Lonchura striata: one gene and its partners. The protein of the gene in region 1 purifies or fractionates together with the protein of each later gene. This does not show direct contact. Links are inferred from orthologs where the notes say so. Each region holds a gene or a part of one and is shown in the gene's direction. Other genes may lie near its edges.

Region 1 (10,631 bases):
ATACTAGTCCATGATGGGACAGTGTAGTGATACCACATTGATACCACTTGGTTTGAAAAGACAGGTGTCTGCTAAGGAAGGCAGGACCCTTTCTTGAAATGGAAAATGTAAACCCCCTTCCTTCAAATTATTATAATTTTTAAATTAAGGGGCTCTCAGACAAAGATAAGGAAATAGGAATAACAGTTCTTTACTAGGAAAATTAAAAATACAAATGTAATAGTAAAAAAAAAAAAAAAAGACAGAGTCAGAATATTCTGACTATTGACAGAGTCAGAATATGACCTGATGGTTACCCTGCTGCTCAGGGTGTTGGTAGTAGTTTTGATTTAGTTGTGGTTGTAGTCTTTTTGGAGTAATAAATGTGGTTTTGTTGAGTGATTTTGTAGAAGGGTGTAGTTTTCTTTTGAAGGTCTGGTGGTGGTTTAGATGGGTCTGGTTTTCTTCTGGGAATCTAGGGGAGAAGACAGCTGCTTTTCTGGGAATCTAGTGGCAAAAGGCTGTTCTAAATCTCAGATTCTATCCAGGTAGGAATGCTAGGCTCCTCCCCCTGGGTGGAGTATCTTACATGCAGTTATGTAATTTTTATCAGTCATGTAGTGAGGCTCAATGGCCCATTAACAAAATATATTTTTTGGAGAGAGGATTGCATATGGAAGAGCTAAAGAAAAATGCCTAATTAGCAGAAGATAACTGCCCCACTTCTAACAGATGGCAAATACACAACTCAGCTAAATCTTTTAACCTAAGACATGGTCCAATACACAAGGAACTATTTATCCAAAATGGGTAATATAATGAATGTTTCTGGGACCAAAAGGGCTAAGACTGCAAATTCAGATATGTACTTTTTCCTGAGGTTTTAACTCTGAACATCACCAAAAGCAAAACAATGTCCAATTTCACATTTGGATCAGAAGCAGAGACTTGAAGGTAATGTGTACTCTTAAATGCAATCTGCATCATATACTACACAGGACAAGATATCAGATACTTTGATTGGCTAAATAGTGCACACAGAGGTAAATACTATTTGGATAGTGATAAATTGCAGAGCCATACAACAAATCATTCTGTACATATTGCTGTGCTTTACTTAGTTTCACTAATTCATCTGTACATAAACTCCTGAACTGGTCAGGTCAGGTTCCTTCCATTCTGAATCTCTAAAGGATATGTCATGCAGTACCTCCTAATATATCTAACACAAGTATTGCTAATAAGATATTGCTATATCTTTTCAAACATTGAAACAACTGTTGCATTGACAAGTATAACAGATCACATGTTGCTCTCAACAACGTCCCTTGAAGGACTTCTGAGAAACTTTAAAAATTAGATTGTCTGAGAGTGGGGTCTGTCAAATATGTGGCAACTATGGCAAAATACATTTTGTGTGGGAGGGGGTCCAGGGGGCAGTCCCCCTGAGATACCCTGGGTGGTAATAACCAATGTGTAGATTCCCGCCTCCCCCAATGTCAATCACTTGTTATCCCTTCCCCTTGCTTGCGTCTATCATTGTTTAAGCCATCCTTTTGTTCCAGAATGTTCTCAGTTCTCTGTACCCTGGTTGGCTCCCTCTCCTTGGCCACTCCTTCCCTTTGTCCCTATTCGTTGTTACGCTGTCAGTTTTCCCCTACTCCGCCCCTGAGCCTTTCCCTCACTGGTTATAATGTACCCTGACCCTCCTACCCTGTTATTGTTAAATACCTCACCCGCGCGCGGGATGAGGCTCTCAGAGCTTGCTCCCCTTCCGAGTGGTTGTTTCCCTGTACCTCTGCCTTCTCTACCCTTCCAATAAACCCTCTGGAAATCAAAGCAGCCTGAGTGTCCTCCCACCTTCGGTGGAAGCTTTCCTTCAGCTATCTGGCTCCTGAAAACCTGACCCACTGTGCCACTCCTGGTGGTTAAAGGACCCAGGTGCCACAATTTTGGAAAAAAAAAACCCAAAAAACTGCAATCTGACAAAACCAGACACTCCTTGTAGGTATTTTGTGTCTGAATAATTTATGATAACGTCAATATGCATTGTCACTTATTTAGCTTCACTTCTCTGCTATGGGCAAGGTCTGTGGCTTTAAACAATCCTGTTTGTGTGTAAATAAGTGCCCTTTTAATTTGTCATAATTGCAAGTATTTTGTTTTGTAGTTATAAATAATTAACATACCTTTTATGATTTTTTTACTCTGTTTTACCTTACAGGGCATACTTCCCCTTGTACGTGTATGTGCAACCTCCAATATCAATAATAACTGTTATGAAGTATGTCTGCAGGGAAGACAATTTCCCAAAGAATCTTTAAAATGCAAATCTATGCTCCATTCTTGCAAATATGCATGCTTCAGGAAGTGACACTAATATTCACTACTTGCCAGCATAATAATCCAAAGCCTGTACATTTCAAACACAAAAGTTAAGAGAAAGTTCCCAATTTTTGCTCTGTATAACAATATACATGGTGTTACCTCCAGTAACAGAAGTAACTGTGTAGTTACACCATCTGACTTTTGCAGTGTACCTTTTATGTTGAAATGAAGAAGAGTGTTATATTTAATACTGAATGCTTCTGCTAGTATAACTTATTCTACTCGTAAGAGCTCCATGAAAAAAGATGGTGATCCATCCTTGGATAAATGCATACTTAATATATTTAGATTAGCAGCTATTGCAGTTAGGATCATAGTTACCTTTGATCTCAGATTGGTTTTCTACAGCTTAATTCCATGTAATGCAATGAGTTACTCTTGCTTTACATAGCCATGAATAAAATTTTATGTATAATAAATAATTATCATTCTCTAACATGGAAGACGGTAATTAGTAGGTTTTGAGCTTGAAAGGTGAGCAAATGCTGTAATGAAAAGTACAATATTGTGTCTATGTATGTATATATACATATGAATATACATTAAGAAAATTATGCTGTAATATTGAAGAGTAAGGCTATAAAAGAAAAGTTTATCCAATTTTTAATCAAGGTAATACTTATGAAAAGTGTTTATTGGTCCATTTCCATGTTATTTTCTAAATTCAGGGATGGAATACTTCAAACATAAATAAAAAGTTTATAAATATTCCTGACTCCCTCACAGGGTGCTTCTAGGTCCCTAAAAAAATATATATATATTATCCATTCTGCAGTGGACCATGCAATAACAATGCCCATACCAAATATGATACCCACAGTGATGAAACAAACAATTATTGACAATTATTGTTAAGAACACTTTTTTTTTCTTTTTTCTTTTTTTTTTTTTTAGGGAATAAATGGATCTGTGTCATAAATATCATCAAATATGTTTCATAGGCAGCATCTTCTCAAAGTGAAGTCAGTACTTGTGACTCAGAGCAGAACCAGACTCTCATTTCATTGGTTAGATCCTGTTCCCATTACTATTTTAAAAGGCTGCATCCCCAACAGCAGTCTAATGAATGATTTAATGGACACATAGCCTTGTTTCTGGTGCCCCTGTTATTTCTGTAAAGGCTTTTTTTTTCTCAGTTTACTTTTCCTTCATGTTTTCTAATAAATCTAAGCAGTAAATCATTAATATTAATATTTTATTTATTTAAGTAAATCAGCAAGGCAGACATCTCATCCAATATTGATACTTCGACCATGAGTATATTATAAATTGACCTGAGAAATGAAATATATCAGGATGTTAATACTAGAGAACATAAAATAAGGGTTTATTTAGATCCCTTCCATTTCTCCTTAAGAGTCCTTTCTGACAATATTTTTTATGGATTTTGCACTAATAATTATCTTCTGAGGAAAGTTTATGATTTAAAAAATTGCTTACAATTTTTATTTACAATCACTTGAATAAGCGTTTGTAGACACATAAGCTATTTGTAGCTTGTTAAAACATTTAGCCTTGAAATACAAAGTAGATTCTCTTTTCTCACATTTGAAGGATCCCTCAAGATTATATACCACCAATGGCCACACTCCTTACACTAACAAAGCTGTGACATAACTTAAAGCATTGTGTATCACATGAAACACACCAAGGAAATAATCGATACGTTTTGACCTTTTTCTAGGAAGGGGCTGGAGAGGTCCTATTTTATAATAAAAGGAAGAAATAAGTCAAAATGAATGGCTGATGTCTTTCAAATTAATTTCTAAAGGTAGTACCAAATATATCCATGAGTCCAGTTGTGTATTCTGAACCATAACAATTTGCTTTGCTATTTGCTAGAACTGTGCCTGCATGGCTCTTCATCAGTGTCATCAGCTACTGTGTGCAAAAGCGCATTAGATTACTGTGATGCTAATTCCCATTACAGTTTTATGTTTATTGCATGTACAGTTGTGTGTTTATGAGAGGGTTCAGTTTCTGTGTACAGCTATGTTGGCATAAATATACTTATGCAAATCTTTTTAATATGGCAAGGCCTCAGGTAGCACAATGTTCTGAACTTCACTACTTAATATATACTCACTACAAGGATTTGACAAAATATAAATATAATTTAAAATGTATTTCTACTTTAAAATAGCGGTCTGTATGTTAAAAAACTTTCTGAAAGGTATATCCTATACAAAAACAAATTGAAATGGGAAGAATTATTACACAAGGGATGCTGTTGTACATTGTGAGGACTGTTGCACCTAATATTGACCAGTTTTTTGTCCAAATAAACTTAATGTAATCACTGCATCTGCTTTCAGTCATATCCTGTAGTTAAAGCCTGAGCAACAGGAAAAAATAACAATAACATTTTCTTTTTGTACTTATCTAATCAACTGTGGCTTATTCATTGAACAATGATACTTGGAAACAAACTGTAACTTCTTTTTAAAATTTTATTCTGAATTCAATAAAAGCTGATGTAACACAGAAAGTTGGTGGGACAGTTATAGATCATTCAATGTCTTAGCTACAGCAGAGCCTCTGTGTTTGATTAAAAAAGTAATATGCTTATGAGCTCATGTCAGACTGAACAATGGAACCTGTGAATAAAATCTTGAAAACTACATTTCTTAGTTAAAAAGGTGGAAGAAATATTGTTAAAAAGTTGAACTATTGTTAAAAAATATTTTAATACTCAGCAGAGGAAAAGGCAGCAATTAATTTGGAGTTTTTCAATCAACCAGCTGTAATAAGAGCAAGCAAGAGAAATATTGTTTTGTAATTCAAACTTTTCCAGAATTTAATTTTCCAAATAAAAAAAAAAAAATCTGAACCATGCTATGTACAAATATAAAGTATACACATTAAGTGTTCTGCTAAAGAAAGTGTTTGTACTGGGATTGCATTTATTGACACTATTGAAAATAGATAGGGCAGTACTCCATTCTAGCTTCATAACATTAGGTTTCTTTAAAATTTTTGTGTGAGGAAAGAAAAAAAAAAAGCACCAAATACCCAAAAAAGTCTACCAACCAAATAGCACCACCACCCCCCTGCCACAAACTACTAGAAGTTATGATGACTCTTAAGGTTAACATCTGTTTGGAAAAAGAACAAACTAAGCCAGAAGGCAAGAAGATAAAAAGCTCATGGAGCCTCTGCAAAGCCAGAGCCAAGACGCCGAGTGGAGCAGCTGTGGTCCATCTCCCTCTGCAGGGGGTTTACCTCAGTTGAGCTGTCTGAGAACATCGACATCAAAAAAATTATCTTATGTAAAGGAATAGGGGAAACAGTGACCTTGATGACATATGCTAGTCGAAGCAAAGTTAACAAATAGCAAAAATAATTCCACCATTAGCTGAACTTATGTTTTCGGATATTTTGTGGTCTTTACAAACATCTCTGCATTATACGCTTTATTCTTGTATGTATGTGAAACACACATCTTCCTTACTTTTAGTTAACACAATAACCAGCTGCTGCATCGATGGAAAAGTAATTCCTTTATTAATTCCACGACCTTATAAATCATTTTGTCAAACTTCATCATGTGTTGTTTGCTATCTAAGATTTTTTTTTTTTTTTTTTTTTTTTTTTTTTATAGCATTTGCAAACATTTCCTGCGTTCCAGGCCCGGCTCATCTTGTTGCACGAGAAGGGATACGGCCGGTGTCCTGGCGTTCCAGGCCCGTCCGCAGGCGGCACCGCACCGCTGGAGAGAGACAGGGACCAGCCTGCCGCCGCCTTCACTTCGCAGGCGAACCGGAGAGTTGAACCGGACCAGCCCGGCTCCTCGGTGTCATCCCGGCAAGGCGTGCGCTCCGCGGGGAGGCAAACTTCGCGGGAAGGGCCGCGCTGCAGGCGGGCAGGGACGGGGCCGGGCGCCCCGAGCGTGCCCCGCGGTCCCGCGGCCCCCGCCCGCCCCGGCGAGCCCCGCGGCCGGCGGTGCGGGGTTGGGCTTCAGGCCGCCGGGGCGTGCCCAGCGCGCTGCCCCGCGGCGCGGCTCGCTCGGCGCCGCTACTCGGGGGCGGGGAGGGCGGAGAGCCGGGCCGGGCGGTGGGGCTCGCCGAGCGGCTGGGGTAAGCAGGGCGCCGGGCCGGGCGGGGCGAGCGGGGCGAGCCCTCCTGAGTCGTCCCGCGGGGATGCGGGCCGGGAAGGGTCCTCCGCCTCGCTGGAGTTTAAGCGACCTTTTAAAACGCGTTTGTCCCTCGAACTTTTATTTATTATTGTTCATTTGATCAGAAGGGTTTTGCCGGGGTGGGGCCGGAGGAGGCGAGGCCGTGGAGCCCCGGGCCGCGGGCCGAGCCTGTTGCTGTGTCCCGGCACATCCCCTCTCCCCGCCGCCGAGCGGGGCCGGGCCGGGCTCTGGCCTGCGGCGGGCGGGCGGCTCGCGGGCTCGAGCGGCCTGGCGGGGCGTTGTCCTCACGTAAACAAAAGCCGAGACTCCCCTGACACAGGCGCGGAGCCCTGCTGCCCGCTCACGCATTCCTGTTTTACCCCCCGCGGGTGTTTCATGACGGGAGGAGGTCTCCGCATCTGCCGCCGCTGCCACCGACCGTGCCGGCGGCCGCGGCCCTCGGCCGGCTCCCGTGGGCGCCGATTCTCGCTCGCAGCCGGGGCCGGACCGAGGCCCCGCTGCCCTGGCGGTGTCCTGGGGACCGGGACCTGTTGCCGCGGTGGTGTCGGGCTGCCCGCAGGTCCGAGCCCGCGGTAGCGGTCCGGCCGCTCCGCGGGGCGCGTTCAAACGTAGCGGCTTGGGCTGGGTGGAAGCAGAGGGCAAGGGGCCACCTGCAGCTGTGGCCTTTGATGAGTCTGGCTGCTCAGAGGAGAGGGATGGTTCGTTTCCCGTGTCCCCCCTTGCTGCCAGCACCTCCCTATATTACTGGAAAGAGTATTAGGAGGAAAGAAAGAAAAACAAAAACTCACAAAGCCGACCTTTTGAACCGTGTACAGCATTTAACGGATTTGATTTGCCGTTTGCCTGAGAAACATTGTAGTTTAAAAATTTTTTCCCCTTTACCTTTTCTTTTGCTTTTATAAACACTGCATTGTCCAGCTATATATTTGTGTCCTAATATGTCTAGATTTTTTTTTTTTTTTTTTTTAACTATAAACTCTTGGATAGGAAACATCCTTACTGGCTTTGGTCCCAGAAAGGGTGTCAGGAGTCTGTCGCAGTAGGAGAGCAGAGATTTACTGAGATAAAGAGGAAGGATCTGAATTCTGTAGTTTTTGAAATTGTATTGTGTGGTGCCCTGTGCTTTGCCTATCACTTCTGTGTTTCCCAAGGAAACAGCAACTCCTTGGTAGGGAAGAGTCTAAACTGGAAAAGGAGAAAGTGGTAAAATAGTTTTTCAGTGTTACTTGATGCTTCTGTGGAAATTGAAAGTAATTGTAACACTAAAAGAAAAGAATGCAATTGGAATATATTTATGTATTTTGTATGTATGAGACATACCCACCTTAACAAGCAGCATTTTTAGACAGAGCACAATTTTTTGAAATGGTTATCAATTTTTGTTTGCATATTTTTATGTCTCCTATCTTGTTAACAGTAACATACATGTAACATTTAATGATTAGATATAGTGTTACTGTTGGTTTCCTTAGTGCTTTGTAGAAGCTTTTCACTAGGAACTGGATACATTCTCTCCTCTTTACGAAGAAATGCGCTAGAAAAGTTAGATCACTATCAGCACCAGGGAAAGAGAACTGCACTACATCGGTACTAATGGATCTTTTTATTCCACCTGACCCTGGTGGGGTCCTGGTCTTTGAATTCTTCAGGCAGGAACGCCTTATATCTTCTCAGTCATGCAGATAGCTGTAGATGGTTTTGTTTTAACAAGTAGCACTTATTCAGTATATTGAGAAGCATTTTGAATAACTTTTTAATCTCTGCTCCATGTTTCACACACACACACAAAAAAATTGGTGAAGTGCATCTGGTACATTTTTTAATAGGCATTATTTGAGCATCCTGGTGAAGCAGTTTTGGCTAATATAATACCATGCTGACAGGATACTATATTATCATTGATAAGGACAGTCATGTTTCACTGCTGGTGTTCCTGACAAGTCAATACAAAAATGTGCTATTTTTGGCCTTGGCAATAATAGCATATTTCTTTTGTAGGCTACTCAGACCCTGTTCTTACATCTGAAACCCCTTGCACAGTGGTCTTCTTACACAGTGTTATGATTTTCTGTATAAATAACTTGTTATTGTCAATACACAAAGAGAAATTTGTGTTTTAGTTTGTAGAGAAAATGATGACTCTTTGTTGATGCTAAATGGCAGCTGTTTGGAGAGGCTTTGTATGCTGTTGTCACCTCTGTGAAGAATCCAATATACATTGAGGTGCAGCTGCTGTAAAATCTGTGCTTCACCAGGTTTAATTGAATTTAATGAATATGGTTATCAATTGCCTATGCTTGAAAACATAAAGAGCCAGTATTAATCATTCCTGTATTTCATCAGTTCGGTATATGTAGTGTCCCCTATATTCTTCATATGCTAAAAAGATGCTTTTCAGTTTCTGAAGCTAATGTGGAAAGATTCCAATTGATCTTAATTTAAGATATTTACTGATTTTTTTTTCTTTTTTGTAGAAGATTATCTGTTTCATTAACCAAAAAGATTCAAACAAACCCCACCAGAAACTCCCTACTATGTTGTTGTTTTTGGAATACTCTTTGCAAATCAATTTTGAATACACTGTATTACACACATTTATCAGTAGGTGCAATCATTATGGATAGTTTAGTCCCATTTCCCATTTGCAATTATTAGCATGTCAGTTACCGTGGATATTATATCTTATGCTGATGTAGGGCTTCTTACAGTGTTACAGAAAATTATTAATTATACACAGTGAACAGATTGCCAGTTAATAGAAAAACATTTTGAGTTTCCTTAATACATTAAAGTGATGTATACAGAAGGTTACAAGTAGTTGAATATGCAAAATTCTGTTTTCATAATTGATTCAAAGTACATGGTACTGTTCAGCTCTATCACAGAACTTTTCTTCAACATACAGAGCCACTACCTCTCTATGTATTTTTGATGCTTTCAGCATTTTGCTAAATTTCAAGAGGCTAGTAACATCTTTTCAAAGTCCTTAGAATTGTAATATAAGCTGTGCAATACTGCCTTTTTATTTCTACTTTGAATGTCTCAGAACAATTTCCATTAGCATCGCTATCAAATGTAGATGTCAGGTATCTCTTGTTTGCTTGTTACATTCCAGGTAGTCAATGGAAATCTGCTTTGTTCCTTGTGGAACAGTGCACATTAATTTTTCTTTTTGTTTGGTCTCTTTTTCTCTATTGGTCATTGCTCTTTCATTTGTTTTTGCACCCTTTGTGTGAAAAATGCTGTATGCAACAGCAAAATTGCATTTGTGACAGTGGAAAAGTAGCTACAAAAAATACATAGAAAAGCATGAGATCTTTCAATTTACTGTGAACATTTCAACTGCCTTGATTTTCTCAAGACTATTTGGAGTCTGGGAATCCACCTTAGTTCTCCTCCTGGGGTTAGTAGCCAGTTTTCAGGAGGTAAGTGGGAAAATGGAAGAGCTCTTAGGATCTACAGGCAAGGCAGAAAATTTAGCAGTAATGAGCATCTTCCGTTTTCTGTGTGGTTTAGTTTCTGTTCCTTCTCCATACAGAGAATACACAATATGCCAATTTGAGTGATAACCAGAAAACCGGGGAGAGAGATGACATAGGATAAAAATCAAGTACTAAAGGATATCTCTAGCCCAGACAAACACAGGCCTAAGTGTTAGATTAGAAGTTCCAAAATACTCTTTTTAGCAGCTATAACATGCTTGTTGTGGTTACCTTGCTGCTTAGTTGAAATAGATTTAATCTCATGCAACTCCAAGCCAAAGTTTGGGCTTAGAGATCACTCTTCAGATAGGCATTTCCTCTGTATGTTCAGAGCACTTCAAGTAATGCAGGAGCTATGGGGCAAAGCCTATTACTATGTTTTCTATCTTTGGCATTGCATGTTTCCTAATCTATGCTATGAGCATTTCCTAATCTATGCTACGAGCATTAGTTTTCAAGGTATTATCTAAAATGGCTTTGTGAAACAGTAGATGGAGTATCCATCAGTGAAACACAATAGGTTTCTTTGTATTTCTTTGTAGAAACAAAGTGATCAGGTGTGAAAGAACGATCAATGGAAATGGGTCACCTTATTATTGTCACTCATTTTTTGTTTGTTTAGCTAAATGCCTTCTGCAATTGTAGTG
Region 2 (10,361 bases), on another chromosome or scaffold:
AATGTTTCTGGGGGCTGCCAAGCTGTGTAGAGTTTGTTAGTTTAATGAAATTGAAGCCCTGTTGTTTGTTCTGAATTTTTAAGTCTAAAGTATCTTCTGTGAGATTTGGATTAAACCAGCAAAACTTCCCTCCCAGCATGCAGATCTGAATGCAGTAGAAATCCCTTCTTTTTGACTAGAATTTAAGTAGCGTTGGCAAAGTTTTCTAGCTAAGGCTTTGAAAATTTGACCTTAATTTAAAACTGACTTACTGGTGTTAGGAAGATAAATACCCCCTTGCCAGACTCCACCCTCCTGCAGCAGCTGCTGGCAAATCTGTCTGTGAATACAGAGAAATTCTTGTTTCATGTCTGGGGTGAGGGCCAAGCTTCTGGCTGGGCTTGGGTGATTTTGATCTGGGGGTCAGCAGTGAGTGACTTCTCTCACTTCCCCTAGGGCCTGGACTGCGGCCCTGAGAGCGTGAAGAAGTTTGTTGAAGTTGTGGGAAGGGCCAAGCAAATTGTGTGGAACGGTCCAGTTGGGGTTTTTGAGTGGGACAAGTTTTCCAAAGGAACCAAAGCCCTGATGGACAAAGTGGTAGAAGTAACTGGAAAAGGCTGCATCACCATTATTGGTAAGTAGTTGTGTTCTTCTGTTTCTAAATGCATGGAGGAAGCTTGTGATGGCCAGCACTGTGATAAAAATATTTTCCTCAAGTCCTCCTGCAGCTTGGGCATTCAGTTGGACAAAATGTGAATTTCGTGTGTGTCTCATGGATTCTGCTTGTGCTACAGGTGGTGGAGATACAGCTACTTGCTGTGCTAAGTGGAACACTGAGGATAAAGTCAGCCATGTCAGCACAGGAGGTGGTGCCAGCCTGGAGCTGCTAGAGGGTAAATCCTCTTTTATCTTTATTTGTTTGAGTAAATGTGGAGCTCTGTGTGCTCTACCATGTGTTGGTAGTCAAGAAGGCACAACAGAGGAATGTCTTTTCTGTCCCACCATGTGGAGTTAGTTTTTGAGTTAGTCCCACCATGTGGAGCTTTGGAGCTACAAGCTCCTCTTCTGTTCTGTAGTCCTCACAGAGGAAGAGAGGAAGGAAAATGGAATATTCCTGCAAACAGCACAGTATGCTTCTCCCAGAAAGCAAAAATACTGGGACAGAAAACAAGAGTGGGCTGGATTTTGTCACTGATCCCTCAGGACATGGCAATTAGCCTGTTGAAAATGCCCGGTTCCTGTTGGGGAAGCCTCATCAGAACAGTCTGGAATTCTTGCCAGAAGTCTCTTCTTCCCGTTTGCAATTCCCTTGGTTTTGGGGAGCCCTCTAGTGCTCACCGACAAGCCTGCACGAGGGTACTTGGAATTCAAAATGGTGAGGATTGAAGGGATTCTTGTAACGAGTTCCATTGTTCTCTAAACGACTTTTCATTTCCTCTGGTAATTTGCCGTTTCCCAGTGTGTGTAAATTATCCAACGCTGTCAACTCCTCTGGAGAGGAGGAACTTCAATAAACTGCCTTGCAGCTGCTGTTTGCAGGAGTAAGATGGGAGACAGAGCTTTTGTTTCTGTTGCCTAGGGAGTGATGGGGAAGGGAAAGAATGCAGATGGCTCGAAGGAAACGCTGTGTATTCAAAAGCACAAACTTGTCTAAGTTTTGGCCCAAAATATGGGTTTGTGTGTGTGATCTTTTAAATGTAGCGGAAGTCTGGCTAATTAGAAAAGCTTCTGAAGATGAAGAAAGGGGGGAAAATCCCTGAAAACTCAGCAAACTAGTGAGTTGTGAACAGTGTTAAAATTCAGTCCTGCTGCACAGCTTGAGCATTAGAAGGTTGTTTTTCTGAGGAAAGGCAAAACCAGAGTGGTGTCTGTTCATTATTAAAGTAGGACAAAACACTGAAAATGCTTTAGAAAATGTTGCACTGTATTAATCTAGGCTCTTGTACTCAAAGATGAGACTATTCTTTGATTCCATCAGTTGGAAAGAGACATGTAAATGTCTCAACCTGAGTGTTTTAGTTGTTTAAAGACCTGGGACTCTTAGGAGACTTTTTCTCTTAATTAATTCTTAAAATTTCTACCACACTCCCTAGAATTCTATTTACATGCCACTAGGGACTTAAGAAAGTATGCAGCAACTGGCTAAATCAAATCAAAAATCTGTTTGCCATCAAACTTAATGGAAAAGAATGTTTGGTGTTTGGATCTGGCCCTAGCAGAGACTTGCACAGAAATGTGCCATTATTGTTAAATGAAGTTGATGGCTGGGCTGTGTTAGGAATCTCTCTGCTGACATCTGAGTGCAGCTGTGCTCCAGATGGATTTATTGTGTGGAGCTGGTCCATGGAACCTCCATGGTCAATGTGAAGCCAAACTCTTCCATTTTCAACCTGTAATTCCTGATTCACTTTTTAAAATTATATCTCTTTAAATGTAAAGTTGTTTGAGCAGAGATCCTTAACCCTGCTGCTGTGTTTTATCTGCCCCCAGGTAAGGTTCTCCCTGGTGTGGATGCCTTGAGCAATGTGTAGAGAGCAGAGCCCCACGCCCGGTCCCGTGCACAGCCCCTGAGATCCAGCACTTCAGCGCTTCCGTATTCCAGCTCTGCCAGAGGCAGATCCCAGAATGTAAACCGGAACGGGACCTTGGAGCAGAGAGAGCAGAGATTTTCCTGACTGCAGTTTACATGATGTGGGTTTGTCCACTGTTACCCCACTTGAATTAACGTAGTGAGTTCAAGCTGTTGTTGTGAATTTAGAGTGTATATATTTATATTTTGCCTTTTCAAAGAGTTTAATCCCTGTTAGATGTATATCTCAGAAAGGAGTGCACTGTCCAGCTTCCATCCTAGAGGCATTTTCATCACTTGACACGGTTCAAAAACCAGAGGGGACTCCAGTTTTTTGGAGGTTGGTTGTAATAGCTGCTGAATAAACATATTTCAAGTGCTCCCAGTTTGTATGTTGTCCTTATTTCAGATTTTTAGAATGGACTTCATTAAAATATCTTCTAGCATCTGGAATCTGAGCTATTTTTCCTATTTGCTCTAATTATAGTATTTCTAAATCTCATTTTGTGGTTGTCCAGTGGTCATTATAAGCACCAAGTCATCATCAAAGTGAACTTCATTGGTAAGGAAGTAAATTGCCACAGATGTGCTGGGTGTTAAAACTTCAATGCCCCTCATAATAAAGTAAGATGAAATTTTGAATGTGCAAGTAAAGTAACAAAAATGCAAGTTGAACTGCTTATCATCTGGAGAACTTGCTTCATAGTGGGCAACTACTATATTTCATGTCAATACAGGGGGAATTTTGAAGACTGAGACAGGTAAAAATGAAGTCCCTGACAATTGCATTGTGCCTTTGTTCCAGTTTGTGGTCCTAAAAGCACTGAAAGTAGAATGGTAAATCTGCACAAACACTTGAGGTTTGTGTGTGCCTTCAGCACGTGGCAGAATTGCAGATGCTGTCAGTGAAGGCCCAGCAAGGTTGTTCCAGTGCCTGGAGCTGTAGGCTGCCCTGTGCTGGCTGCAGGGCCCAAATGTGAGCACAGAACCAAACCTGGGACTTCTCCAGCCTCAGCCTGGCCTTGGCTTTGGCTTATGGCAGCAGTCACAGCTCTGCTCTGAGGAGAGGCACTGCTCCAGCTGAACTGCTGGTGGGTCCAGGAAAAGTGAGTGGTGTGGGGCAGCCATGGCCTGGTCTGATTCCCAGTGAAATCCCAGCAGTGGTGCTCCCAGGAGGTTCTGCACAGCACAAAGTATTAAGGATGAACCACAGAGGGAGTCCATGAGGTACGCAGCAGGTCACAACACAGATTCTACTTTTCAGTTAATTTCTATATATGAAATATTACCCAAACATGTATGTGTTAGACCAGATATGCTGCCAAATTTTACCTGGTCATGGTGGGGGGTGTGAATTAAAATCCAATAATGCTGAAGTGTGGTAAAGCTGCTATGAAATCTATAGCTATTAGAGTTTAAAGCTAAAAGTGACTGTTGCAAACAAAGTAGAAACAATGCAAATTACTGCAGCACTGTGGTCTCCTTCTCCTCTTCCTCCCCTCCTTTGTAACTCTCCCAAGCATTGTCTGATGGCACATGAATGATGCACATTTTTGCTGTGCTGTGCTCATGTTTTCCAGGCAGGGGTGCAGACCTCCGACAGCTGCAGGAACGTGGCAAAGAAAGGAGGGGGCTTGTCAGCCACAAAAAGACCATGGATTTTGGAAATCCAGTACTACAAAAACAAACATTCCACCATGTCTTGTAACAGATCCTCGTTGTCTGGCTCTGGAAAACAAGACCTCGTGACAGCACAGCCCATTTTTGTGTCACTCTTGTGCCCCTGTGCTGCTAGACTCCCATGGAGCAATAACAGACTTTCCCCCCAGCCCTCCTTTCTGGGTGTTTACTGTGGAAGATTGGTGTGTGGCCACTACTTCTGCTGGCTTTTTTCTCTCTCCATCAAAAGCAACAAAACAAAGCTATCTGTAGTTAAATACAGCAAGCAGTAATGATGCTCTGTACACACAGATGTCTCTGCTTAAAACCATTTTTCCACCTGACTTTGGATGTTCCCTGCTTACATCTCTAAAATATCCTTTTGTTTCCACACGGCTTGTTCTGTGCACTGTTGTGTTCAACACAGGAACCATGGCACGGTAGGGCCAGAGAGATACTCAGCTTTAAATAAAAATAAATTGTAAATAAAAATGGATGAAACACATAAACATGAGACCATATGAGCTGAACACTTGATGGCCAGCAGCTGAGTATTTCAGTGACAGATTTTCCAGGGCCTTTCTTTTAAGTTTTGCCTGCTAATACTTCTTTGATAGGTCAGCTTTTACATTTTTCTTGCTTTTATTGAGAGTTTCTGGGGCAAGAAATCATCCCTGTCGGAAACATTGTGGAAGAAAGATTAGAAGCAAAGCTGTTGCAGAAAGCCCATGATGTAATGAAGTTAATACATACAGCAGGTTTAAGGGGCTGATACTAAGAGCCAGGTGAAATTAAAAGTAAAGAACTTAAATCCTTTGGACACACCAACCCCATGGAACACTGCAGACTGGGAAGTGGAAATTGCCTGGTGGGAAAGGCCCTGGGGGTGCTGGCCATCATCAGCTCAACAGGAGCCAGGCGTGCCAGGTGGGCAAGAGGTCAATGGCACCTGGCCCGTCCCAGCCATGGTGTGGCCAGCAGGACCAGGACAGTGACTGTCCCCTGGCTGGGCACTGGTGAGGCCACTCCAGTGCTGGGGGCAGTCTGGGCCTTTCACTTAAGAAAGGACCTGGAGGGGCTGGAGCATGTCCAGGGAAGGGAATGGAGCTGGGAAGGGGCTGGAGCACCAGCAGAGGCTGAGGGAGCTGGGAAGGGGCTCAGCCTGGAGAAAAGGAGGCTCAGGGGGGACCTTGTGGCTCTGAACAGCTCCTGACAGGAGGGTGTGTGTCGTCCTCTGCTCCCAAGCAAGCAGTGATAGAGCATGGGAGGTTCAGGTTGGATATCGGGAAGAATTTCGTCACGGAAAAGGTCGTTAAACATTGGAAAGCGCTGCTCAGGGAGGCGAGCTCCCCATCCCTGGCGCTCTCCAGGGGACGGCCGGACGTGGCACCCAGCGCTCTGACCAGGTGGGGCTCTCACAGGCTGGGCTCGCTGCTCTCAGGGTCTTTCCCAGCCCCGCTGGAGCCGCGATTCCCCCGGGCCGAGGCGGCTGCCCGGCTCCCCCGCCCGTGCGGAACTACAGCTCCCGGCCGGCACCGCTCGCCGGCCCGCCGGGGGATGCCGGGCGCCGTAGTTGCAGCCGCCTGCTGAAAGTTGCCCGCGGCACCGGCGGGGCCCTGGCCGGAGCTGCCCGGCGTGGCGCGGCCGCCATGGATGTGCGGGCGGCCGCGGGGCCCGGCGCCCGCGGGGTAAGGGCGAGGCGCGGTGAGGGCGCGGGAAAGGCCGGCGCTGTCCCCTCGGGCACCGCCCGAACGGGCCCCCGAGGCGGGGCAGGGCTGCCGGGTGTTCCCTCACGGGCATCTCCTCCTTCCCCGGCGCTGTTGGTGGCTGCGGGGAGGGCTGGGCGTGGGGCGGCTCGGGGGCTGCCGGGGCTGTGTGGGTGGGAGCCGGCCCTGCTCCCCTGCCCGGCTCCTTTGTCAGCTCCAGGTGCTGCCGGGGTGTTCTTTGGCCGCAGGCTCTGCCCCAGCCGCCAGGGATGGTCCCTGCTCTGCCTTCTCCTCCCGCCGGCCCCAGCCACCTGCAGGAGCTCGCCCGCACCTGCCCCGGCTCCGAATTTAACAGAAGCGTCTCCAAATCCTCCCGCTTTGATCTTCGAGAGAGAGAATTTGGAGGGTGATAATCCCCAAAGGGTTAAAAGCTTGCATGCGTGCCTTGGTTCGGCCGTTCCGCTGCTGCGGTTATTGTGCATTTCATTCACAGAGTGAGGCAGGGCCATAAATATTCACCGTGACTTCCACCGCATGGTCTGAGCAGCTCAAACCCCATCGTCTCCGTTCCCGGATACTTTTTGGGCAGGGTGAGGGCTGGGAAGCCAAATGGTCACTGTGGAGGAGCTGTGGTGGACACAGGAGTTGGGGTGATGCTGAACACCAGCTGCTGGTCTCGGTGCTGGCACCAGCCAAGGGCTGGCTGCACATGGTGGCACAGCCCAGCACTCCCAAATTTCAGGCTCCTGGGGACTGTTCAGACTTCTCACAACACCCAGGCCCCGACTCTGGCATCCTCACCTGCCCTCTCCCATCATAGCATGCATAAAGAAGATCTCCACTCAGTTTTCAAGTTAAAATTTTCAGCATTGCCTCTGATAAATGATTTTCTCAGCCCCAATGCAGTATAAAATAGAAAATTCCATTTTAGTTAATTTTTCGGTTTTATTCCACTTTCTAATGATAATTTTTCATTAAGCATCTAATCACATCCTAGCATTTCTCATCAGCAAGGCTCAAGGTGCTTTACAAAAGAGGGAAAAATATGATTATTCTGATTATCCTTATTAAGGCTTAGGTTTTGGGCAGCTTCTGCATATAATATAGGCCCATAAATAATTAAAAGTTCAGTCTAAGAAAGGAGAAATCCCCAGTTGTAAACTGAAGTGCCACACTGAAGAAGGCAGTGTGTTACAAGGCATGGCCTTGTAACCTAATCTCCCTGATCAGAACAGTATCCCATTAACCCACAAATCTCCCCTCTCCTGACCTGTCTGCCCCAAGGACAGGTAATTCCATGTGCAGGATCCAAGGGAGGGAGTCTCAGTGACCAAAAGCAGCCTGGAGAGTGTTCTATTGAAGCTCCCTGGTGTTCAAGCAAAGGTCTTGTGTTCACCAAAATATCCAGCCTGAGCTGAGCAGGGTTGGGCATAGAACTGATGGAGTATTTTAGTAGAAATAGGGTTCAGAAATAAGAGCATTGCTCAAACTGGAGTCTAGAAGATATAGAAAAAGGTTATGGCCTGGATCCAGTTTATCTACATCCTAAATAGAATTCTGACCTGAAACTTGCTCTGAGCTCTTTGTCAAGTTTCATCAAAGTTGGACATGGGCTTTCCTGTTTGGGAATTTTGTTTGCTTGTGCTAAGCTGGGTCTGTGTGTCCCGACACCTGCGTGTGCTGCTGAGGGCTGGCTACATCAGGATCACTGTTTATCCACATAATTCAGCAGCAGGACTACGTGGATGAAGTCCTTGTTCTCATTCCAAGTACCTGCTGTCACATCTGAGTTATTCTGTGGGAATGTTTTTGTTCTGATCTGTGGTTACCCAGCGCTCAGCAATGACCTAATTGCAACCTCCTCGTTAGGCAGAGAAATTTCTGAGTTTGGCTTTGCAGTTCACCTTCTCAAGCAAGTAAAATCTCTGTTCTGTAACACCATCTGCCAGCACTTGAGCCCAGCGTTCATGAGGGATCATGAGGCTGATGAGGGCAGTGTGTGTCTCTGCAACAGCTTCTGCCACTGTAGCATTGCAATGTCTAACTCAGAGCAGGTGTACACCACGTAGTCAATGAAAATTCCTGAGTCTGGTGATCTCCAGCAGCTTTCTTACCACTAAAGGACTTGCACCTGTGTTGGTGTGGTGTTGTGCAATTTCCTGGTAAGTTGGTAATGTAAGAGCAATTACAAATAAAGCTGAAAAAGCCCAGACTGCCTTTTTCTCTAAGACTTAATCTTGGCAATGTTGGTGTAATTTTCAAATGTAACTCAAAGGCATGCTGATTGAAATGAGTCCCAAAGTTCCTTAGGGTCTTGGACAGACCTATATATTGATATATATGTGCTGTAATACCTTCATTTGTATCATGTTGACTGTAGGTCAGTCTCATTGCTGGAAGCTCGGAGTAGTGAGGCATGGCTGGAGCTCCCAGTAATGCTGGTGGTACTGGGATGTGCTGCACATGGCAGGGGAGGACCTGCAGAAATGAGGAAGCTGTGAGTGCAGACATTTTGAGCAGCAGAATTTTGAGGGAGGGTGAGGGGGAGAAATAGAGAAGTCAGTAATAAAAACTAAACCATCACCAGGGTTGTAGGTAATGATGGGTTCCCTAAGAACATTCTTGTGTGCTGCTTAGGAGAGAGAGAAGAGCTTCCCTGGAGAAGTGCATTTCCACACAAGCTTTTGGTTTCTTCCCTTGCCCATTTGTGGAGCACTCACATCTTTCTCTAACCCTGCAAGACATTCTTGTTTCCTTTCATTTACCATGAAATAAGGAGATGAGGCACTGTTGGGCTCCCTTATTGACTTAACTTGTGGGAAGCTCCACGTAAATCCCTGAATTTCCCAGTCCTGACACCCAGGAGGTGTTTGTGGAGTCGAACACAAGGTGGAGGTTCCTGCACAGGGAGGGTTTGATGCTGTCCCAGTCCTGAGCCTGTGACTCTTAATCCTGCCTTGCTTTGAAGTCTGAAGCTCAGGAGTCTGCATTAATGATCAAGGGGCAGAGCTGAATATGGAATTCCTATGGCACAAAGGTAAAGGTGTGGGTTGGAATGTGGGAAGGAAATATTTAAGAGCAGACTGGCATGTATAGTTAATAATATTAAAAAAATAATCATGTTAATGTCCTGTAGGTGCTCAGGTTCTCAAGGCTTTGAGCATCTTCTCATCCCATGTAGATCACTGGTCTCTGGCTGGATCCTGTCATGTCCACAATATTAAATCCCTTGAAGAGCAGAAAACTTCAGGTTTGAAAACTCTTTTTCCTCTGCAGTGGGAAACTTGCTCTGCCCCCTTAGGCAGGAATGTCTGTTCCTCATGCAGTGTTTCAGAGCTGTGCTTGGCATTTGGCTGTCACTCTGTCCCACTCTGCCAAGTGTCAGTGATCCCTGAATGCTTAAAAAGTTCCTTGGGACTCTCAGCAGATGTGAAGCTCTTCTAAATTTGAGATCTGTCAGGAGCAGAATGCATTAGAACAATTATTCCTGACTTTGACTTACGACTATGTTAAATCTCACTTATTTTTACCACAGAGTGTGTTCTTTTTAAGGCTCTGAGCTGTTTCTCTAATTCAGGAGCTGTTATTCCCAATTTTTACTTCATAAAGGAAAAGAGTCAAAAGGGCTGTGTGTCTCACTACACATAATATACAGATATATACAGCATTATGAAGTCTTATGTATTTTTTTTTTTTGTGAACACAGGATTTCTTCATGTATTTAATACCATAGTGTAAACGAATATTTATGGAGATATCTGAGTTTTTTGGGTCAGCTGTGTCAGGTAAAATTTGATCCAAATCCCAGGAGAAAAACCCCACCTCTGACATTGCATTCCCTTCTTGTCCCCAGGGAATGAAAAAGACAAAATATTTTAAGCCATTGAACGTGCACTGAGCTTTAGTTCGTTAGCTAAGAAGGAGTAGGATGTCTTTCCACAGCTACATTCAAAGCTGAAGAACAAAAAGCTACCTTGAAAAATGGCCTTTGGGAAGCAGATGGCAGAAGCCAAGAAACTTGAGCCCTTTGCTAATGAATACTCTGTCCTTAACATTGTCTCTTTTGTTTCCCACACTTTCATGAGCTGCACATGGATTCCATTTGCCAGTTTTTATCCCTTCTTCCTGGTACCTGATCTGAGCACAATTTGGGAGCTGGGGCAGCTGGCACTGAGGTGCTTGGCTTGGGATTTATTTTTGCTGCCTCTTTGTCCCTGTGCAAGCTCTGGCTCAGGTGTGTAAGGCAGCCCAGGAGACACGGCTTGGGTGCATCCTGGGGAGAAGGAATCAAAGCTTTTCCAGCTTCCTGGCAAAGGGTGGAACAGAGACAGGGCTGGGAGCAGGTTTGCTTTGATGAAAACACAGCAGCGTTCCCAGTGTGGCTCCCGTCAGGAAAGGTGTTGGAGCTGGGCTAGGACTTTTTAAAAGAGAGCTGTTTTTCTTGGCAT
Region 3 (9,791 bases), on another chromosome or scaffold:
CGTCTGCGTGCACCCAGCCTGGGCAAAGAAGATTCCTACGGAATGATTTATTAACTATAATATGGTTATAGTTCCAGATCTATAAATACATGCATAGTGGGTATAGTTTTATAATAGAAGGCATGTTTGCCAGTGGGCAGGACGGTTGCACCTCGAGGTGATGGTGCTGGTGCCAAGGTGATGGTGTCGTTGTGACTGGCACAGGGAATGGCAGGTCCCTGTACATGGTGTCACAGCTGGCTGTGTTTGTTGTCTGTTCCTCGCAGTAGACTTTAAATGCCCTTTTGGCAGCAGCAGGCCCTGCCCCTGCTGCTGTGTTGCTGTTTGCAGTGTGTGTTTGCCAGCAGATCTGTCTGTAACCAAGTGCCAACCAGTAACCCCCAACTACTGATCCCTTCCCCTGTCCCTCCAGTGTGGCCTCCCCCAGGCAGGAGCTTCCTCTGCATTGGCTCCTACCCCTCTGCTTCCAGCCATGTGTGTAACTGCCATCGCCATCGGTTTTATATGTATGATAATTTCCCTTTTATATGTCAGGTAAATATTTGTAAGAGTTATACTCACACAAATGAGATTATTATAATGATTACTAATATATTTTTTCCATGTTTCATCGCCTGAGTAAAAACTGTGTTTATCACTCTGGAAAGCTTTCTTGGTGTTTGTGAGGTTGGTGAAGAGTTTTGGGAGGACTTGGCTTTACTTTGCAGAATGGGCTGTGTTCTGCCTGTCTTTATTAATGTGGTTTACATGGCAGTTGGTTTCAAATAAGTACAGTAATCATGTGTTCCTGAAATCTGCATTTCTGACCTCTGAAAGTCAGAGCTGGGATGACTTTTCTGGCCCTGTGGCTCCCAGCACACGGTGATGGTAGTGAGCCATGGCAGGGAGCTCAGACAGCAGGAAGAGCTGAGGCAAGCAGGATGGCAGGCAGGAGAATCCTTGGCCTAATCCCTGCACTGACCCTGACAACCCTCTGAGGCCTTGGGTAAATCCTGCTGGGAGGCTGGAGCCCTGAGGGCTGGGGGCTGCAGGAATGGTTCCACTGGGCTCCCAGCCCTGTAGGGGTTTTCTGTTGTTCTCTTGCACATCTCTTTTGGTGGGTTGGAAAATCTGAAGTGGTTTTCCCCAACTTGGCTGCTACTCATGATGAGAAAGGGACTTTTCTCTGGATGGAGCAGGTGGGCTTGATCAAAACCTTTGAAAGCCACCACGAGGTTCTGTGTCCAGAGACAGTTTCCAGAGCAGGATATGGAGCAGAGCTCGGCCCATCCACTGGCACCAGTGTGCTGCTCTGCCCCAGTGCCATTGCCCAGCCCGTGTCCTTGGGGAGCTGTGTCCTGTCCCCCAGCTAAGATGGCATTATCCCAGCCCCAGCACTCTCCCAAGCAGATTAGCTGTAAGACCTTAAGACAAAACAGCAGCTACGCACCCCACACTGCACACTGCTGAGGATGCCTGCCCTGAAGACCCTGCTGGCCCTGGCCATCGTCACGTCCCTGGCTGGAGAAAGTAAGTGTCCCCTGGCTCCAGGCAGCACAAGGTTGGGTAAATCGCTGTAGCTGCTCTTGCGCTTGCTGCTGCCCTGTCCCTGTCACCTGCCTCGGGCTGGTGTGTGCCCAGCGGGCCCCTGCCCCACGCTGCTCCCACCCCTGCAGGAAAATAACGTTTTGGGGAGGAGGGTGGCTTTCTCCTCTGACTAGCACCAAGAGAAGCCCCTGTCCCTTGCCTATCTGCCACTGGCACAAAGCCTAGGCATGCTGTGCCCAGCAGGGAGCACAGAGTCTCTGGTCTCCAGCTCTGATGGAGGCTCCTGAGCCAAGACCCTGCAGCTTCTCTTGGCTAGAGCTGTGTTTCCCTGTTAACTCGTGGTTCCTCCAAGGCATAATCACAAAAAGCCATTGTAAAAGGTAGGGGGGAAGCTGCACTGCTCAGAGCAATGCCATGGAATCGGGGCAGCTCTGGACACTTTCAGGAACTTTGGACCTAGGCAAGAAGAACACGACTGTATTTTTAGCTCAGGGCAGATGAAAGGCTGTCCCGTGCTGTGGGGAACAGCAAAGGAGACACGGCAGAGCCCAGCAGCGGAAGCCGGGCCATTGTGGGTTAATGGAAGGCGCTTACTGGCATCTGACCCCATGAAATCCCAATTTTCCCCATTCACGGGTTTTCTCTCCGAGATGAAGGTGGAAGCTCTGGGCCGAGCCGGCCCCGCTGCCACGAGAGGGCTCTGCTGTCAGCAAAGCAGAGACGAGTTCCACCTCCAGCACCAGCGCTGGTTTATCCGGCCCCATCAAAACCGAGGATTCGTCATTTCAGGCAGGAGCAGGATCTTCAGGTTTGGGTTTTTCTGGGGTGTGTGTATGCTTGGAGGGGTCACACAGCTCTTGCACCACTACCAGCTCTGACGCACAGGAGAGAGGGGCTGGCTGCTATCCAACCTGCCTGTGGACCTCCTTTAAGGACGATCCGGAGATGGCTCGTCCCTCCCGACTCACATCTGCCTGGCACTTTACTGCCTGTCACCCTGCTTGTCCCCAGGCCGCACCCTCGGGCTGAGCTTCCGAGTACAGTGCAGAATGTGGGAGCTGCTCCCACAGGTTGCATGGATTCTCCCTTCTCCCTCACAAAATATTTATTAAAATGAAATCTGGCACAAGAAAACAAAGATCTATGATGGTTTTAAAATATGATGTCTACCTATTTTTACTGTAAAAGGAATTCCAGGACTATCAGGGAGTCTTTGCAGGGCAAGGACTCGGCAGAGCTCATCTGCCAAGTTTAGCTCTCATCATTTTGAGTCACACTTGGAAGAGTTTTGCATTAATTTTGTGGACAGGTGAGGCTCAGTCCTGCATCCTGCTGCACGCCATGGCAGGCCTGGCTCACGGCTCGATTCTGTCTGGTGCCAGCCCTCACCCGTGACCTCCCTTGTCCCTGGGCCAGGGGCCACCGGTGTCTGTGGAGACCCACAGACTGTCGGGGCACTGGGGTCTCTGGGACAGTGCATTGCTGTCACTCCTCCTCCTCATCTTCACCCAGGCAAGGCTCTGAAATGCCACAGATGTGTCGCATCCAACGAGAACGACTGCAGCCAGCAGGGATCGCACAGCTGCCCCCAGTACGCCGACGCCTGCTCCACGATCACCGCGCCCAGTGAGTCCCTTGGCTGGAGGGCCTGGGGGCTCCAGGGGGAAGGGGGGTAGGACCGTAAGGTCTTGGAGGGGACCAGAGGGGCTGGGAGTCGGAGGGCGAGGAGAAGCAGGGAGCCTGAGGCAGAGCAGGCGGTAGCTTCTTGCGGGTAGGAGCGCAATCCTGCAATTCCGCACCCGTGCCGCACCGAGGTGTTCTTTATCCCGTGCCGGTGAAATCCGGGTTCCCGGGAGGGCCTGACCCGTGTCGCCTTGCCTTTCCTTGCAGACAGCGTCATTAAGTCCTGCTCCTACAAGTCCTTCTGTGACCAGGCGCGCCGCGGCGGCTCCGGCGGGGCCACCGTGCGCTGCTGCTTCACCGACGACTGCAACGGGCCGGCGCGGGGCTCCCGGAGCGGCGCGGCGGCCGCCGCGCCGCCGCTGCCCGGCCTGCTGGCCGCCGCGCTGGCCGGGACGCTGCTGCTGGGCCGGCCCTGAGCGCCCCGCGGCCCGGCGCGGCTGCTCGCTGCTCTAGCCTAGGGACGCGGGACGGCTCCCATCGCCGCCAGTCCAATAAACGCTGCCGCTGAGAACCGCGTTCGCAGCCTCTCCTTGGCAGGGAAACCAAAGCCGCGAGAGAACGCGCCGAATCGAACCGGTTCGGCTTCTGGTGCCGCCCCGGAGGGCTTCGCTGGGCAGAGCCTGGGATCCCAGCGCACCTTCCCTCCCCGCTGCTCCAACAGAGATGCTTTTGGGCTGCTTTCTGCAACCCGAGGCTCGCCTGTGGAGAGACGTTTCGGTGGCTGCTAAGACATGGGGGGGATGTGAGGCTGCTCTGTGGCCTGGGGCTGTAGGTGGTCCCACAACTCAAAGCTCTGCTAGAAGGACCCCCAGGAGTGGCCCGTGAGGCTTCCTTTCGTGAGGGAGAACGGTAAAAGTGAGTGAACGGTGAGGAGAACAGAAAGGGGAATGATGAAGGGAGCGAAGGATGGCTGGGACCATGAGAATTTGACTGCAGGAACTGTAGTGCAGGGGGAGCAGCAAACAGCAGCTGTCTGCTGGAGTCTGCCTCAGTCAGGACATGAGGAAAAGGGGAACAGGTACTGAAACTGAAAAAAAGCAAGTTTGAACAGAAGAAAATAAATAATTCAGCATGTGCGGATCCAGCCGTAGAACTCACAGCTGGAGGATGCTGCTGGAGCAGAGACCTCGGTGAGTGCTGGAGGGTGAGAGGGTCAGAAGTCCTGCAGAACATGGACATAGTCTTGTGAAGGTCAACGTGTGCCTAGAGGGGCGCTGGGCTGCTGCCGCTGGAGCGGAGCACGTGGATAGCAGATTATTCCGTGTCTGCTGTGCATCCTGCTATCCTGCCCTCCCCGGGGCACACAAAGGGTGTTCTGCGCGGGGCTCTGGCTGCTGGTGGAATCTCCAAAGGTCCTGGAGCAGAGACGTGCCCTGCCCCAGACTTCCCTCATGTTCCCTCATCTGCTGATGGGGTGTCCCAGTGAGTGCCAGGGTCTGCTTGCACCCCCCCACATGTTACAGCAGAAAAACGCATTGGAAAATCTGGGAGAGCTGCCAGGCTCCCGGAATGAAGGGAAAGCAGCGCTGTGAGTCGCTGCCGTGTGACCGTGCCCGGAACCCAGTTCTGCCCCGGGCTCCGACGGGTCACAAGGGCTGCGAGAGCTATGAAAATACTCCGTGGAACAGTTTAGTCTTTGCAAAGGGAGGGATGGGAAGAGAGGGAGGCAGCGATTGCGGGGCAGGGCTCGAGATCGCCGGGATGCCGGGAGCAGGCAGGCAGCAGTGGGAAGGAGCGGACCAGCGTGGGACGGACAGGGGCTGCGGGTGTCCGTGAGCAAGGTCCCCGCGTATCCTCGGCGGCGGCAGCACCACGATCGGTTTCACCCGCGCCGGGAGAAAGTGCGTCGGGGCCAGACGGAGTTTCGTAGAGAAAGTGCGGCTTCCCCGGGCCGGCACGGGGGAGGCAGCGGGTGTTTCCTGCTCCCAAATTCACCCCGAGCTCACTCCCAGCAGCAGCTTCCCCAAGAGATGCTATTGCACGAACGGCGCCCCGAAGTGGGCGGCTCATCTCCGTCAGTGCCAGCCTCAAACACCGACCGAGTGGTTTTGTGTCGGGTCTGGGGGAATTCACCGGGGGGGGCCCGAGCTCGGGGCACGCAGAGGACCCGCAACAGGCTGGCACTGGGAGCGCACCGGGCCGCCCCCACCCCTCCCCGCGGCGGCGGCCGGGGACCGCGGCAGGTGCGCGGCCGGACGGCGATGGGACGGAGGGACGGACACCGGCCCCCCGCCCCGCGGAGCCGCCCCGCGCCCCGCACTCACATCCGGGGCCGGGTTTGCTAATGACAGACGTAATTAACCCGGAAAGAAGCGGCGGCGGAGCCAGGGCACACCCCCTCCGCTGCCCGTCCGCCCTCCCAGCGCTGCCCGGCGTGCGCAGCGCCCGCAGCCCGGCCGGCCGCCCCCCGCCGCCCCGGCCATGCGCGGGGCGCGCAGCCCAGGGACGCCGCGGGGTAAGTGCCGCCGCGGGGACACGCGTGGCCGCCTGCAGGCAGCGCTCGCCCTCGAGAGACCCCGCGGGCCGGGCTGGGAGCCCTCGCTGTCCCGTCCCCGTCCCCCGGCCCCTGCCCCCGAGTCCCCGCGTTCCCGGGCTGCCGGAGCGGCTGGAGGCGTCCGTGCCCCGCGGCGCCGGGGGCCGCTGGGGAGGTGGTCCCGGGGCTGGTCCCCTCGTCCTTGGCGGAGGCTCCGGTTCCTGCAGCTGGATCATCCGCGCCGGGGCTGGAGTCGAGCCCTCCCGGTGCGAGCGGCTTCTGCTCGACGGCTCCTGCAGCGAAGCGTCAGGGGCAGGGGAGCGGGAGGCAGCGAGGGGGGCGGAGGGGTCCCCGTGGAGCTCCGGAAATGCTGCAGGCACCATCCTCGCCGAAAGTCTGGGGATGGAGGCAAGCGTGGGGCGGGGATCAGGGGTTTGCAGCTATTCTGTGTGTTCTCCGAGTCTCTGTGGCAGATGAAGAGCTGTATCCAGCCTCCTCCTCCCGACAGGCTGATAGTTTCATTAAGGCAAATATCTGCAATTAGTAGGAGAGAGTTGCTGGGCGCTGCCTACCCCGTCTGTCTCGTGGGTCGGGACAGACGTCGCGGGGTGAGCTCCGGGAGCTCCTCTGCAGCCGCAGGTGAGAGGAAGTGGAGCTGCAGCCGCTGCGGGCACTGGGCAGCGCAGGTCCCGCCCTGCTGGCATGGAGAGAGGGTCGTCCTGCACCGGCACGGCTCGGGTGGACAGGTGTGAGAGAGGAGGGCGTTGTGGCTGCCCACAGGTGCGATGGGTGCTCTGGAGGGAGGTGCCGAGGAGATGCCTCCCGGCAGCACAGCTGTGATGCTCCAAATGCCGGGTCTCCCATCGCCTCGCGTTTTCCTGCTGCAGAGTGCTCCTGGCTTGCTCCTGTGGCTGTAGCTCTGCCGGGGCCGAGGAGGGCACCCTGAGGTGCTTCCTGGAAAGTCTGGCTGTGTGGCTGCACACGAGGCCTCTGAGCCACCCCTGGCTGCAGCGGGGACCTGGGTGCTGCATGGACAGTGCCCTGCCCCTCCTGCCTCTCCCTGAGGAGCACTTCCCTTTTGCTCAGGCAGGCAAGGGGGTGGTTTTCTGTAAATGTTTTTCTGTAGCCCAATTGTTTGCCATGTCATTCACTGAGTCAGGAAAAGGGTGTCCTCTTGGGTGAGATATTGTGATTGAAACAGCTGGCAAGTTGGTTGCTTTACAGGTAGGAAAGAGTCCTGGAAATTTCTGATACACTTCACCAGGAAACTGAGCATTTTCTGGCCCTCCTGGATTTCCTGAGCAGGGTGCCCCACATGTCAGCACAGCTGGAGATGCTACTTTTATAATTTTCTTATGGAAAAGTGCAGTTCTTGGTGGTTCCAAAGACTGACCATTTGTGTTGTGTGGGCAGTGGGATGAGAGGGGACAGGAACCCAGCTGACTTGGTGCAGAGTGTGGGACAATCCCAATCTCCTCTCCCATCCCATCTCCAAGTGCAGCCTGAGGTCGGTGTGCACAGAAGGGCTGAGCTGGTTTGTGGTCTCCCAGATGAGCCCGTGGTAATGAAGGATGGTGGTGGGGGGACACAGGGACTGGGGGCTCATCTCTGTGCTGCCTGTGGCACCTTCTGCTCCTTCCTCATCTGTCGCCTTAGCAGAAATCTCTAACCTTTGCTGTGAGCAGAAAGAAGGGTTTATGAGGTTTGGTTTGAACGTGTTGGTTGAAGGTACCTAGGGATTGGCTTTCCATGTGCTTCCCCACCACAAAAATAACCCCACAAAAAAGCAGTGAGACTTGAAGTGCCCTCAGAAACCTTTGTGCCAAGGCGCTGTCGTTGGTCTAAAACAACCTCTCCCCCTGCAGCAGCACGGTCCCCATGAGCCAAGATACCATCTCTGAAATGGTGGTGATAGATTGAGATCCTGACTGCAGGTTGACTTGTTTTCTGCCCCCTCTACCTTTGCAGCTGCACCGCAGCTCTTGCACAACCCTCACCTCCCCGGGCCCCACTCCACTGCAGCTCAAAAATAGTATTTCCTCCTTTTCTGCATGAGTTCTTTTATTTGTGTAGCTCTGCTTCTGGCACCTGCGTGATCACCACTCTCCTGCCAGACAAACCACACTGGGTTCACTGACATCCTTTGGGTAACGGCTGCTCTCATCCCTGCCCTGCACCCTGTGCCGTGGGGAGACAGCTCTGCCCGGGCAGGGGACATGTCCTGCCCAGCCTTGGGGTGCTGGTTCTGCTCCCCACGCAGGCTGGAGGTGATGACAGCGTCCCCACTGCAGCCAGGGGCCCTGACGGAGACCTCCCGGCTGGGGGGCAGTGCTGGGGGGGGTCCGTGCCCTGGCAGACCTGGGGACACAGCGTGGCCCTGCTGTGATGGGTCATTGTTTTCCCTGCTGACTCGACATCCTGGCTGCACAGATTTTCTGCTGGAGTTGCAGATTGTTCCCCGTTTCCTGGGAGTGTGCTCAGGCTCCCTCTCGCATGCTGCTTTGGGATTTTTTTCGCCACAGTTCTCAGGGATCTGGTGTCTTGTGTCAGATCCTTTGTGGCTGCTCTGTCCTCCCTCATGGGGTTTGGTGGCTCTTGGGGCTGGGAGTGGTGGGTTGGTTGTTGTCCCTCCCATCTCCCTCTGGAGAGCTCAGCTGTGGCCGAGAGGCTGCGCTGCCATCCTGGAACACCTGGCTGGGACGGGGTGGGTGTGGGGGCAGTTCCCTGGGGCGCAGAGCACCCACCTCCCCCTCCTGCCCCCACCCCACAGGGTGATGCCAGAAGGAGCCCGGCATGCCGTACCTGGACCGACAGAACCGTATCTGCGGGTTCCTGGACATTGAAGAAAATGAGACCTGTGGCAAGTTTCTGCGGAGGTATTTCATCCTGGACACCCAGGCCAACCACCTCCTGTGGTACATGGACAATCCTCAGGTGGGCACGTGTGCCGGGTATGTCCGTAAAGTTGTCAGGGAGTCTGTGGGCACGTCCCAGCCTCCCTGGAGCAGGCATCTCCTCCGGGCCTCCCCAGGTCCCTGCCTGCTGTGTCAGTGTCCTGTGGCTGAGCGTGGTCATGACCAGGCTCCAGCCCTTCTGTGACCTCTGTGGTCTCCAGGACTGTCCCAAGGAGCAGAGCAGAGCTGGTCTCCCTGCTGAGGGGTCTGAGCTGGATCAGGTGCAGCACAGGGAAGTGGCTGAGGACAGCAGCTGCTGCCTGACCCCAAGGGCACAAACGACAGGCTGGATTGCCCTCGCCACCTTCTCCCTGTCATTTACCTCCCACTGCTCGTGCTGTGTGTTGCAGAACCTGGCCATTGGAGCAGGTGCTGTTGGATCTCTGCAGCTGACCTACATCTCCAAGGTAATGTTGGGGTGGGGCAGAGGGAAGGTGAGTGCTCCCTGCTTTCCCCTTATCCTTGTGGCATTCACAGGAAAGGCGATAGCTTGCCCTGGAAGCACCCAAGGCCAGCTCCTGGTCCTGCCTGGGCTCGTGGCCATCTCCCTGGGATGAAGCCTGAGTGGGGCTGTGGGAAGCAGGGAGGCACGCCGTAGCACAAAGATCCTGGTGCCCGGACCACCAGGATGGCCACCAGTTCATCTTCACCCGTGGAGTGGTGAGGGATGGGGTGAAATGCTAGGCTGCAGGAGGAAGAGGAACTGCTCTGCTGTGAGGAAGGACACGGGGTGGCCGGGACTGAGTAGGGACAGGAGCATGGTGTCATCATGAGCTGGGTACGGAGCTTGCAATCGGCTGGGCAGTGCTACGGGAGCTCTCCCCTGTGCTCAGAGGGCAGCACCCTGAAGGATGAGACCTTCTGGAAGCTCACTCGTGTGTCTCGAGGCTGTTATCCAATCTGCACGGGAAGGCAGGAACAACAAAAAGAGCAAAAGGCAACAACAGTTGCAGGGCTGGTGACTGAGACAGTGGAGCTGTGGCTGTGTGTGGAGAGTGGAGCTGCCTCCATCCTCCTCCTGCAAGCGGCCCCTCAGCTGCTGAGGGAGTGGGGGGCTTGTGGCTGCCACGCCAGGCACAGCTCAGCTTTATCCTGGAGCTGGATATAGCATTGGACAGATCTTCCTCTTCCTGCTGAATCATGATTTATAAATT

Evidence for each region.
Region 2: the proteins of MPDZ (region 1) and AMOT purify together in Homo sapiens (affinity purification with mass spectrometry; 4 studies listed by BioGRID and IntAct, with this or other methods). This does not show direct contact. The link is inferred for Lonchura striata from reciprocal best matches to the Homo sapiens genes MPDZ and AMOT.
Region 3: the proteins of MPDZ (region 1) and PLEKHA2 purify together in Homo sapiens (affinity purification with western blotting; 3 studies listed by BioGRID and IntAct, with this or other methods). This does not show direct contact. The link is inferred for Lonchura striata from reciprocal best matches to the Homo sapiens genes MPDZ and PLEKHA2.

Annotation. Positions count from the first base shown.
Region 1 is NC_134642.1:20,457,451-20,468,081, reverse strand, and holds the start of MPDZ (multiple PDZ domain protein), read left to right. Parts: upstream 1-6,018; 5' UTR 6,019-6,171; exon of another isoform or gene 6,172-6,178; intron 6,179-6,341; exon of another isoform or gene 6,342-6,443; intron 6,444-10,631. UniProt on the Homo sapiens protein: Member of the NMDAR signaling complex that may play a role in control of AMPAR potentiation and synaptic plasticity in excitatory synapses. Promotes clustering of HT2RC at the cell surface.
Region 2 is NC_134616.1:17,375,330-17,385,690, forward strand, and holds the start of AMOT (angiomotin), read left to right. Parts: upstream 1-5,497; 5' UTR 5,498-5,613; intron 5,614-5,783; exon of another isoform or gene 5,784-5,895; intron 5,896-10,361. Other genes in the region: PGK1 (phosphoglycerate kinase 1), read left to right, coding at 436-613, 774-872, 2,470-2,510.
Region 3 is NC_134634.1:4,558,161-4,567,951, forward strand, and holds the start of PLEKHA2 (pleckstrin homology domain-containing family A member 2), read left to right. Parts: upstream 1-5,597; 5' UTR 5,598-5,665; intron 5,666-8,453; 5' UTR 8,454-8,476; coding exon 8,477-8,617; intron 8,618-8,987; coding exon 8,988-9,044; intron 9,045-9,791. UniProt on the Homo sapiens protein: Binds specifically to phosphatidylinositol 3,4-diphosphate (PtdIns3,4P2), but not to other phosphoinositides. May recruit other proteins to the plasma membrane.